3 linked regions of the Stegostoma tigrinum genome follow. The protein of the gene in region 3 purifies or fractionates together with the protein of the main gene of each other region. This does not show direct contact. Links are inferred from orthologs where the notes say so. Each region holds a gene or a part of one and is shown on either strand. Other genes may lie near its edges.

What was found.
Region 1: the proteins of hnrnpua (region 3) and eftud2 fractionate together in Homo sapiens (co-fractionation; 3 studies listed by BioGRID, with this or other methods). This does not show direct contact. The link is inferred for Stegostoma tigrinum from reciprocal best matches to the Homo sapiens genes HNRNPU and EFTUD2.
Region 2: the proteins of hnrnpua (region 3) and snw1 purify together in Homo sapiens (affinity purification with mass spectrometry; 3 studies listed by BioGRID and IntAct, with this or other methods). This does not show direct contact. The link is inferred for Stegostoma tigrinum from reciprocal best matches to the Homo sapiens genes HNRNPU and SNW1.

Annotation. Positions count from the first base shown.
Region 1 is NC_081384.1:27,964,905-27,968,655, reverse strand, and holds the start of eftud2 (116 kDa U5 small nuclear ribonucleoprotein component), read right to left. Parts: upstream 2,901-3,751; 5' UTR 2,779-2,900; intron 1-2,778. UniProt on the Homo sapiens protein: Required for pre-mRNA splicing as component of the spliceosome, including pre-catalytic, catalytic and post-catalytic spliceosomal complexes. Component of the U5 snRNP and the U4/U6-U5 tri-snRNP complex, a building block of the spliceosome.
Region 2 is NC_081363.1:13,496,774-13,500,524, forward strand, and holds the start of snw1 (SNW domain-containing protein 1), read left to right. Parts: upstream 1-831; 5' UTR 832-928; coding exon 929-942; intron 943-3,751. Other genes in the region: adck1 (aarF domain-containing protein kinase 1), read right to left, coding at 389-401. UniProt on the Homo sapiens protein: Involved in pre-mRNA splicing as component of the spliceosome. As a component of the minor spliceosome, involved in the splicing of U12-type introns in pre-mRNAs.
Region 3 is NC_081362.1:86,365,018-86,368,768, reverse strand, and holds the start of hnrnpua (heterogeneous nuclear ribonucleoprotein U), read right to left. Parts: upstream 2,202-3,751; 5' UTR 2,048-2,201; coding exon 1,330-2,047; intron 1-1,329. UniProt on the Homo sapiens protein: DNA- and RNA-binding protein involved in several cellular processes such as nuclear chromatin organization, telomere-length regulation, transcription, mRNA alternative splicing and stability, Xist-mediated transcriptional silencing and mitotic cell progression.

The sequences.
Region 1 (3,751 bases), on a different chromosome or scaffold from region 3:
CAACCCGTCCTTCTTGTACAGGTCCCACCTTCCCCAGAAGGCATCCCAATTATCAACATATCTGAAGCCCTCCCTCCTACACCAGCTGCGTAGCCACGTGTTCAGCTGCGCCCGCTCCCTGTTCCTCACCTCGCTATCTCGTGGCACCGGTAGTAAACCAGAGAACACTACTCTGTTCGTCCTGCTCTGCAGCTTCCATCCTAACTCCCTGAAATCACTTTTTATATCCTCAAACCTATTTCTGGTTATATCATTTGTGCCAATATGTAACACGATTTCTGGCTGTTCACCCTCCCCTTTCAGAACTTTATACACCCGATCGGAGACGTCCCGGACCCTGGCACCAGGGAGGCAACATACCTTCCGGGAATCCCGATCTTGCCCACAAAATCTCCTGTCGATTCCCCTAACTATCGAGTCCCCTACCACGAGTACTTTTCTATTCTGCCCCCTTCCCTTCTTTGCCACAGTGTCAGGCTCAGTGCGAGAGAACTGACTACTATGGCTTTCCTCTGGTAGGTCAACCCCCCCAGCAGTATCCAAAACGGTATACTTATTGCTGAGGGGAATGCCCACAGGGGATCTCTGCACTGTCTGTCTGTCCCCTTTCCTCCCCCTAACTGTAACCCATCTATCCTCGTCCTGAGCCTTAGGAGTGACCAACTCCCGATAACTCCTCTCAATTACCCCCTCTGCCTCCCGAATGATCCGTAGTTCATCCAGCTCCAGCTCCATTTCCCTAACACGGTTTTCAAGGAGCTGTAGCTGGGTGCACTTCCCGCAAATGTAGCCAGCGGAGACGTGTGCCACATCTCCCAACTGCCACATTTTGCAGAGGAGCAAGCAACTGCCCTAGCATCCATACCCCACTTATCTGAACACCCACTCAATACTAAAGCAGAAAGCTCACTTCAAGTAATAATAACAAATTAATAACAAACTTATGTTCAATAGAGAAAGTTTAGAATGAACCTTACCTTATTAACTAGGTTAGAGGAGGAGGGCGGGTGGGAGACACTACAGTTGTAGAGTCTCGGGTTAAGCCGCCTTGCTGATATATATATAAATTATTCTTTCTTTCATGCACTGAAACAGTACATAAAAAAGACTATTTCACCCATCATGCTTGTGCTGGTTCTTTGGTAGAATGTTCATCATCCCATTTTGCCCCATAGCCTTGTTTCTACAATCTAATTTTTAAAGTTATTATTGAGTCTGCTTCCAGCACACTCATATTTCAGATCACAACAACTTGCTTTTTAAATGTGTTTCCTCAAGTCTTTTTTGCTAATATTATATCTATGTCCTTGGTCATTCACCCTCTGCCTCTGAAAACAGTTTCTTATTATCTCCTCTTAATTTTCTGGGCTCTAAGGAAAATAAGCCCCGTTTCTTGTGTCCAATTAACATCCATCCTTCATCAGTGTAAAAGCAAAATACGCCAGACTTTGAAGGGTTGAAATAAAAGCAGAAAAAGTGTTGGAGAAATTCAGCAGATTTGGCAGTATCAATGCAAAAAGAAGGAAAGCTAACATTTCAAGCCTGATATGAATTTTCTTTGTGAACCAAATAAAGTTACATATTACACAATTATTCTTCCCAGAGATGCTATCACAGCTTCCTCAACACATTGTTTTTCTTCAAAACTAAATTGGTGAGTTTCTTCTACATCCTTTTCAAGGTCTTCTAAAGTGTAGTGCTCCAAACTGAAAGCACACAAAACCCCTTCACTATGGCCCAATTAGATAGGTTTTCCATAACTCCTTTGGCTTTTATAATGTAGACCTCGATAAATAAAGCAAGGATTTCGCAAAGAAATACAAAGCCTTCATCAAGACCTTTTTTGTTCCTCTTTCCCCACGAACATTGAACAGGGTAGTTTATACAGGGGAGGCAGGGACTCTTGTGGTGCAATGGGAGTCTCCCTACCCAGGAAGGCCTGGGTTCAAATCTCACCTACTCCAGAGATGAGTAGTAACTTCTCTGAATAAGTTAATTAGAAAATATCTATATTTTGTACATATCCTGAATGATGTGACATGGATTACTGAAGAATTATACTACAGTTGTCTTCAGTAAGGTAGGGGTTTAGTGTGAAAGGGTGCTGGGATTGGAGAAGGACTGACATCTGCAACACAAAAGTTGTAGTGGCTCAGTGGTTAGCACTGCTGCCTCACAGCTTTCCATCCTTGGGCAACTGTCCGTGTGGAGTTTGTACATTCTCCCCATGTCTGCTTGGGTTGCCTCTGGTGTTCTGGTTTCCTCCCACAGTCCAAAGATGTGCAGGTTAGGGCGGATTGGCCATGCTAAATTGCCCAGTGTTCAGGGATGTGTAGGTTAGGTGGGTTACAGGTCTGGGTGGGATGCTCTGAGGCTCGGTGTGGACTTGTTGGGTCGAAGGGCTTGTTTCCATACTATAAGGATTCGATGATCTATGATGATCTAAAGTAATAATGGCTTGTGCAGAACTGCTTAATCACTAGGGGTTCCTGTGGTGTATTGGTAATGTCACAACCTCTGAGGCAAGAGGCTCACTTTCAAGTCCCCGCTGCTCCAGAGCCGTGTAATAACGTCCCTGATAAGGAAGTTGATAAGGAAAATATTTACAACATGTAGGTTCCAGGCCCCTCGGTGTTACTGGATGCTGGGATTGGTGGTTGGGAGAGAAAGAGAGAGAGAGAGAGAGAGGCGGAGGGCCATTTTGGAAGACGGCGAGGAGGAAGTTTCTATCAAACCGTAGCAGCCTCGATGATGAGGGAAGACAGCAGCTAGACTTACATTCGACTCCGGGTTTTATCCCGCTCTGTCTCGGCCTCCACCTCGCTCAGACGAAGGAGCGCGACTGCATGACAACCGCGCGACACTCACTCAGGAAGGACCCCCACTTTGTCCGGCGCAGCCGCCTGACTCTAAAGACAGAAATAACTCCGCTAGAAATGTCTTCAAGTAACTCTCCGATTATACTGTCAGACTTTAGTAAAAGGAAATGTGGTTCCATGTTTAAATGAAAGGTGGGAGCAAAAAATCAGGCTGTATGGTCATGACCAGTGATTGAGCCTTTCTGCACATAATCCTTGTTCTGCTGAAACTCCTGTTTTCAGGAATAATGTTCCCTCCGCCTCATCATTCTCCCATAGGCATTAATCTTAGAATTTCTGAAGGAAAATAAGTTAACATTTCCATTCTAATATTACATAAGGAGCAGTTTGTTTTCTTTCAGCGTCTGCATAGTACTCTGAGGTACAGTTCAAAATGACAGCAGCGTAATGGTAGGAATAGAGTCGAGCATCAAAAACATGCCACGCACATAAACCGGAGGTTGATGAATCAAAATTAGCCTCCGCTAGGTAATTGCAGCAGTGAATGGACGCGGTCTTTCATCCACAGCAGCAGTAAGTGTAACCCTACCTTCAGATCATTAGACAGTCCCACCTGCTCCAGGTGCCTGAACAGGTTGATTTAAAGATATCTATATTTCATGTCAAACACGACGAGTTATTTGCAAAGTTCTAGCCCCTTTGTATACCATAGAGGCCTTTAGACAGCAATCTTGCCCCCTTGTGAGTGGAGCAGGTGATGGTGGTGAATGGGCAGATACTGGTCCAAGCTTGGCAGATAGCTGGGAAAGTTTAAATTGAAATTTAGGCTCAGAAATATTGACTGTAAAATAATTGGCTTTTCTTTTTAAAATATCTGGTTCATAAATAGTCATTAGGAGAGAAAATCTCTTTACCCTCCTCACCTGATGTAT
Region 2 (3,751 bases), on a different chromosome or scaffold from region 3:
TCTATACAGAACTGACCTTTCACTCACTTATGCAATTGAGAGTAATCAGTTTCCACGCATCCAGCTCGCAGTGTTATTTAATCAAACACATATCTGTCAGTCACAAACAGAAACAGAAAGTAGCGGTGAAACTCGGATGGTCTGGCAGCATCAATGGAAACTAAAACAAAAAGACCTTTCTTCAGAACTGATGACTCAGAACTCCAGACCTGCTGAGTTTCTCCAGCAATTTCTGTTTGTTTCAGCCCTGCAGTAACCGCAGTTCGTTGTTGTATATATTTGTCAGTTGCCTGTTCAAAAGCTACAAATATGATTCATTTATAGTCAGAGCCTAGCATTATATTTCCTGGCGATCACGTTAGCTACGTCTCGCCTGACATGCACTTACCGCCGACTGTCATCACTCACCTTCGCCCTCTGACACTCGAATACCCAACCCCTATCCCGTGCAGATAATGGAGTATCCCACTCGCGCATGGTGCACCGGGATTTGTAGTTATTTGTGCCGGGGAGTTCCGTTTGTTTCTAAAAGACTCTCACCGCGGAGAAAAACTACAACATGTCTACCACCACGGTCAAACGATGAAATGCCGGGCCAGCTTTACACATTTTAGTTCGCTCGACTGGATGAGCATGCAAAGGATGAAATAAACAAGTATCTTTTATGATAAAACAAACGTTAATCAAAAAAGGTCATGACGGCGACTAAAACCCACTAAAGGCTGTGAGGTTAAAGCCTGTAACAAGGATGGAAGAACCGTGGGTGGGCAGACGTCGAGGGACGCAGGCGGGTCGCGTAACAACGCCAGAAGCAGTGTCTTCAAAGGCAGGCCGGTAGATATGCGATGACATCAGACGCAAACGTTGCAAGGGTGAGTGACGTGACGTCAGACGCACGGTGGCGTTGACAGCAACTTTTGTAGAGAAAATGGCGCTGACGAGGTAGGTGCTTCTCTATGTTTGTGTTGGATAGTTTTAATTCCGTGGATATTCGGCCCCAAAACGTTTTCTTTCTTTTCCCTCTCATCTTGTTATAAACCGCGATTGCAGACGGATCTGTGCTTCCAGAATTTCCCTGGCGTCCAATAAAGCCCTTTTCGTAATTCCCCGACTAGGCCCAACAAAGCCTTGCTTTTACCTTTTGCGAATTCCTGGCTTGAAGAAATAAGCAGCATTGGGAGGAAAGTAGTTGAAAATATCATATTTGAAGTTACTTTTGTTCTTTGTATGATAGGACAGCATCAAAATTTAATGTGAAAGTGTTATTCAGTGCCTCGATTGATGAATGTTGGAGATTGGCTTGCTAAAGGTTTTTGTTGTGTTGTAATTTAGTCGCTTTAATACTTAGCAATTCTACACGTATGCATTATTTGTTTTTATACAAATGTTTTACTGGCTTATTCTTTATGTTTTGTTGTAAGATGAACCAATTATGAGATGTGTGATGTCTATAGTGTTACCACATAGTTGCTGCCATGGTAACAACCATCACCCAAACCAAAAAGTTAAATTTTTGTAGGTAATAAAAAAGAAATGCCAGAAAAGGTTATAGGGGAGTGAGATGAATTCAGTAGCTTTCATAGAGTTGGCAAATGCGTGATAGACTCACATTTAGTTTGAGTAAATGTGGTTCAAATACACAATCAACAGCAGACAGTGTTTCTTTTCTGATGAAGGGTCTAGGTCTGAAACGTCAGCTTTTGTGCTCCTAAGATGCTGCTTGGCCTGCTGTGCTCATCTAGCCCCACACTTTATCAGTGAACATAGTGTGTTTGAATTTCAATTTAAGTTTGAGAGTGAGAAATTTGAGTCCCACATCAGTGTTATGATGTAATTACATAGGCATTAGGACAGTTTTGGCCTAAATGTATTAGCCAAAAAGGCAAATAGGTGGGACAGTTGATGAGCAACGGCAGACATTGAAGGAGATGTTCAGTTTCTCCAAACTAAAATATAATCCAGTGAGGAAGAAATAATTTAAGTGGTGGGAGGTGAGAAGCATTTATAGGTAAGCAAGGACGTTAAAGAAATCATAAAGGCAAAAACTAAGGCTCACAGTATTGCAGAGGTAAGTGTCTAGTAGAGAATTGGATAACTTTTAAAGAGTATCAAAGGATTAGTAAAAAAGTAATAAAAAGAGCAAAGTCAAATTATGAAAGAAAACTAGCACAAAATATAAATAGTGGAGAGCAAAGCTGTTTAAAAGTATATAAAAACTAAAGTGAGTTGTTAAAGTGAATGTTGGTCACTTAAGAGGTCGAGATTGAGAAGTTTATAATGGGGTAACACAAAAATGGCAGTGGCACTAAATCAATATTTTACCTCAGTTTCATTGTAGAGGATACTGAAACCATCCTAATAGTAACAAATGAACAGATTATAGGAAAGGAGAAACTCAACATTCCTGTTCACTAGAGAAAGAGTACTGAGCAAACTATTGGGATTTAATGCAAACAAGTCTATAGGGCCCAATAGCCTATATCATAGGATCTTCGAGGGAGTGGTAGCCACAATAGTGGATGCGTTGGTTATAATATTCCAAAATTCCATGGATTCTGGAAAGTTCCACAGGATTGAAAAATTCGAATGTAATACCCTTTAGCAAAAAAGCGAGACAGAAAGTAGAGAATTATTGATCAGTTAGTTTGATATCTGTCATAAAGTTGATGGAATCCAATATTAATGAAGTAGTAACAGGACATTTGGAAAGTCAAAACCCAATCCATCTGAATCTAAATGGTTATATGAAAGTCAAATCATATTTAACCAATTTGCCAGACTTCTTTGAAGATGTAACCAGCAAAGTGGATAATGGGAGTCCATAGATGTAATTCTGAATTTCCAGACGGCAGTTGATAGGGTGACACAGTGGTTCAGTGGTTAGCACCACTCCTTCATGCCCCAGGAACCCAGTTTCAATTCTACCCTCAAGTGACTGTGTGGAATCTGCACATTCAGATGGCATGTTGGCTCAGTGATCAGTACTGCTGCCTTAGAGTGCCAGGGACCCAGGTTCGATTCCAACCTCTGGAAACTGTCTATGTGGAGTTTGCATGTTCTTCCCATTTCTGGATGGGTTTTCTTCGGGTGTTCTAGTTTCTTCCCAGGAATGTGCAGGTTCGGTGGATTGGCCATGCTAAATTGCCCTGTTGTTTCTAGGAGTGTGTACGCAAGTTGGGTTGGCCATGGGCAATGCAGGGCCTACAGGAAGGGAGTTGGATCTGAGTGCGATGCTTTTCAGAGGGATGGTGTGGACTCAATGGGCTGAAAGGCCTGCACCCATGCAGTAGTGACTCTGATTCATTATTGCACAAAGTGAGATCACAGATTTAGGGGTAATATATGAGGATTGAGGCTAACAAAGAGAAAGCAGAGAGATGGTATAACCAGATCTTTTTCTGGTTGGCAGTCTGTAACTTATAGGGTTTAGCCCAACTATTTAGAAACTATTTTAATGACATGGATGCAGGGATAGAATGTATTGCAGCCAAATTTGCCAATGTCACTAAAATGGGTGGGGCAGTATGTAACAATGAGAAAAAAAATAAGAAATTTACAAATAGATATGGATAGTCAAGGTGAAAGGGCTAACATTTGCTAGATAGAGTTTAAAATGGATACATATGAGGTTTTCCATTTTGGATGCAGGAAGAAAAAGGCAATTTATTATCTAAACTGAGCGAAAATTAAAAATGCACCAGTGCCAAGGGATCACTAATGTCCTTTTAGGGAAGGATACTTCTGTGGGTCT
Region 3 (3,751 bases):
CTAAACGCTTACCTTGTATAAAAATATTGCCAACACAAAAAATTCTTCTCTGACTCAAGGACCCACACTCACAAGCAACATACCTCCAGACTGTTTGCCTTCCATGTTGTCAAAGACATTGTCGTTTTCTAAAATAAACTTAATTTCTCCCATGACCCGATATCAAGCTACCATCCAAGCTACAGAGTAAACGCAGCCTTGCACATACAATGCATTAGCCAATTTCATCATTTGCAACCCACAGTTTTTGTCAAAGCCTTCCCACACATTGGGGCTATATGTGCTTGGCTGCAAGCTTTTCTAAACCATTCCCACTGTTTTATCCACCCGGTCCCATAGTTTTTCTGGGAGGTTTAAGAATCCATTACTAGCCCTAAACCTAAAAGTGATCTCCATTTAACCACAGAATTAAGACCACATTTCACACATGCAGTTACTTCATAATCAACTTTAACCCACTCAACTCCTCCAAAACTTTTTGGATGAAATCCAGGATGGGATGAAGCTTCAACTTCAAACTGACCAAACATTCACAGATGCAAGCTATACATGCAACTCCAGCCCTTCCCTGCACTTCTTCAGAGACACAGCCAAGTTACTGTACCCTAAAGGTGCCCTGACCTTATGTTTTAGCTAAATCCCCACTCCAACCTGACGGCCTACTTTTCATCAAAATGCTCTGATATAAAAGATAGTAGGAACTGCAGATACTGAAGAATCTGCAATAACAAGGTGTAGAGCTGGATGAACACAGCAGAGGACCAGGAAGGCTGACGTTTTGGGCCTAGGCCCTTCTTCAGAAAATGATAAAAGCATGTGGCTTATCTGGCCTGACAGTGCTGGAAGTGATTTTCTAATCTAAAACATCGAACAGCAAATGCAAAGCAAAATAAAAGAGAAGGTGCAAAGTTGTTTCTATTCCCACTTCCCCTCCCCCTACAACCTTTTCCTAATTCCTTGAGCTACTCCATTTTGGTTTGCATTATTTCCACCCTCCATTTTCTCAGTGGCTTCCTTCAGCCATCCTGTATCCTCATCCCACACCACCACCCACCCCCGCCTCCAATCCACTCTCCCATTTTAAATCCAGTCTCTCTCTGATAAGAGACTGGGACTCAGGCTGAAGCAGCTCCTCCTCCACCACCCCCCCACCCCCTGGGCACGGTCTAACACGCGCGCCCAGCAGCCGGAGCCCAATGGAGGCGCCGGAAGTGATGGGTTCTGAGGCTCGTTGATGTTTTAGTTTTTTTTTGTGAAATAAAACGGATGAATGAGAAATAAAAAGCCCAGGTTCCCCGCCCCCGGGCGAAGGGAGGCGGGTTCCCCCACCTTTGCTGGAGTGTTGAGGGGCGGGAGCCGGGACCGAAGCGGCCTCAGGTTCCTGTTTGCCACCAGCCCGCGCCTCGCCGTCCCCCAGCTCCATTGTTTCCTCTTCTCCCGCTCTTTGCTGCGCCTCAGCCTGGACTTGGGTTTGCTCTTGGACCCGGGCCGGCTCCGGTACCGCTCCCTCCGCCTCTCCCATCCCGTTTTCCTCCTCCTCCTCGTCGCCCAGGCCGCTCTCGCCTGTTTTGCTCTCGACCTCCTCCTCCTCCTCCTCCTCGTCGTCCATTCCCCCTCCCGCGGCTCGGACCAGGACTTCGGCCTCTCCTTGAGATTCCTCCTCCTCCGCCTGGACTTGGCTCACTACGGCCGCCGGCGGTTCCAGCCCAGCGGCCAGGGAAGCGCCGTTCAGTCCCGGGCCCCGCGCCTGGGCCTCGGCTTTGTCTCCTCCCGCCAACTGCGGCGGCTCCTCCTCCTCCTCCTCCTCGCCGCCTGCCGTCTCGTCTTCCAGCTCCTCCTCGCCGTTCTCGGGGGTCTCCAGCGGCCCGGGCCCCCCGTCTTCCTCCTCCTCCTCCTCTTCCATCATCTCCTCCTCGGCCTCGCTGTCGAGTGCGGCCTGCAGCCGCTCCTGGAGCTCGGCTTTCAGGCCCTGCACACTCAAGCCGCGCCGCTTCAGCTCATCCTTGAGCTCGGGCACCTTCAGTTTCTTCACGTTGATGTCGCTCATGGTGAGGACGATGGCGGGGACTCGGGCTCAGCTCCGGCCTCGGGCTCCGCTTCGATTCGGGCTCCGTCACCCTGCACCGATCGACCCGGCTCCTCGAGGCTCGGCTCGGCTCGGCTCCGCGCCGCGCAGACTCAGTGTGGGGTCAGCACCGGCCTACCGTAAACCCCCGAGAGTGAGCGCCTCTGCTGGAGAAGCAGGGAGATTGCTGACAGAGCTGCTGGCACATTACTAACCCAATGCCACTGACTGCCTATGCATCATCGACAAAGCTGCTGCTGGATTACTGCGGGGGGGGGGGGGGGGGGGAAGATATGGTCATTGTCATTATTGATTAGTGTCTGGTTGGAGATATCAGTTACTGGGCATATCTTATCTGCAAGCATCAATAATGACATTTGAAGCACTCTGTTTGCAGATAGCTGTGCTTGAGAGTCTATCCTTTGCTCCTCTCTTCTTCAACGTGCTTCCCCTCATATCATCCGCAGGAATGGGTTACCTTTCATAGTACACTAATGATAGCCTGTACTCTTATATCTACCATGGGGATTGGTTAGTTCAGTTGGTTAGACAGCTGCTTTATCATGCAACAGCTTGGGTTCAATTCTCGTAAATTACTATGAGGGTCCCACCTTCTCAATCTCGCTCCTCGTCTGAGGTGTCATGAGCTTCAGGTTAAACTCCACCAATCATCTCTAATGAGACAGCAGCATTAGGGTCCTCTGAGGTCATGGCAACTTTACCTTTATATAATTACTACTAAGTCAGATGTTGTTCAACATCAAATAATAGCTTTTTCCTCCCTTATTGGGTAAAGTTATCAGAATTAGAGATGAACTTGTTGAAATGTGAGTTCCTGAGACAGCTTGAAAGGATAGACGCTGACAGATTGTTTCCCCAGCAGGATAATCTAGAATTAGGGATTGCTGTCTCTGGAGAAGGAATGAGACATTTAGGACTGAGATGTGGGGAAATGCCGTTGTTCAGAAGGTTATGAATCTTTGGAATTCTTTAGCCCAGAGTGCTCTGGGTTATCTGCCATCACTATTGGATGTTTTGGTTGTTAAAGGAATCAAAAAGAATGAGAGAGAAAGGAAATCAAAGTCAAAGCTCAGCCAGCCTTATTAAATGATAGAAAAATCTCAGACATCTTATGGATCTCTTAGAGCAAAATAAATAAAAGATAGGAATAAGAGCAGGAATTTCTCATGAGATAGGGATCAAATGTGGTGAAAACTATACGAGTAAAGTGTCGGGAATTGGCATTAAAAGAGATAACTGGAAGGCTGCTAAGTTATAAACTGCATAGACTGATTGACCTACTATTTGTGTCACATTAGTTTGGAAATCTAAAGTAGTAACTATGCATGCTTTGTACATTAGTATGTAGCAACTGTATAAATAAAGGAAATGACACAGTGTTTCTATGCAGAGATCAATGAGTTGAATTTAAGGTAGAATTGCTGCTGAATTTCAAGTTCAAGATGTTAGAAGAATAAAGGAGTGGGTATCATATCTTGCATTCTGATGTTTCCTCTGGCACTAATCAAAATTCATTACTAGCCTTAATAGCAATTAAGGCTGCTACTTGATGATACAGGGAAGCAATCTGGAAAAATAAATTCTGAACTTTAAGATGATTGGGTTTGGTGTTCACTATACATGGTTATAAATCTTAGGATGAGTGTTAGTTCAAAGTTAGATCTG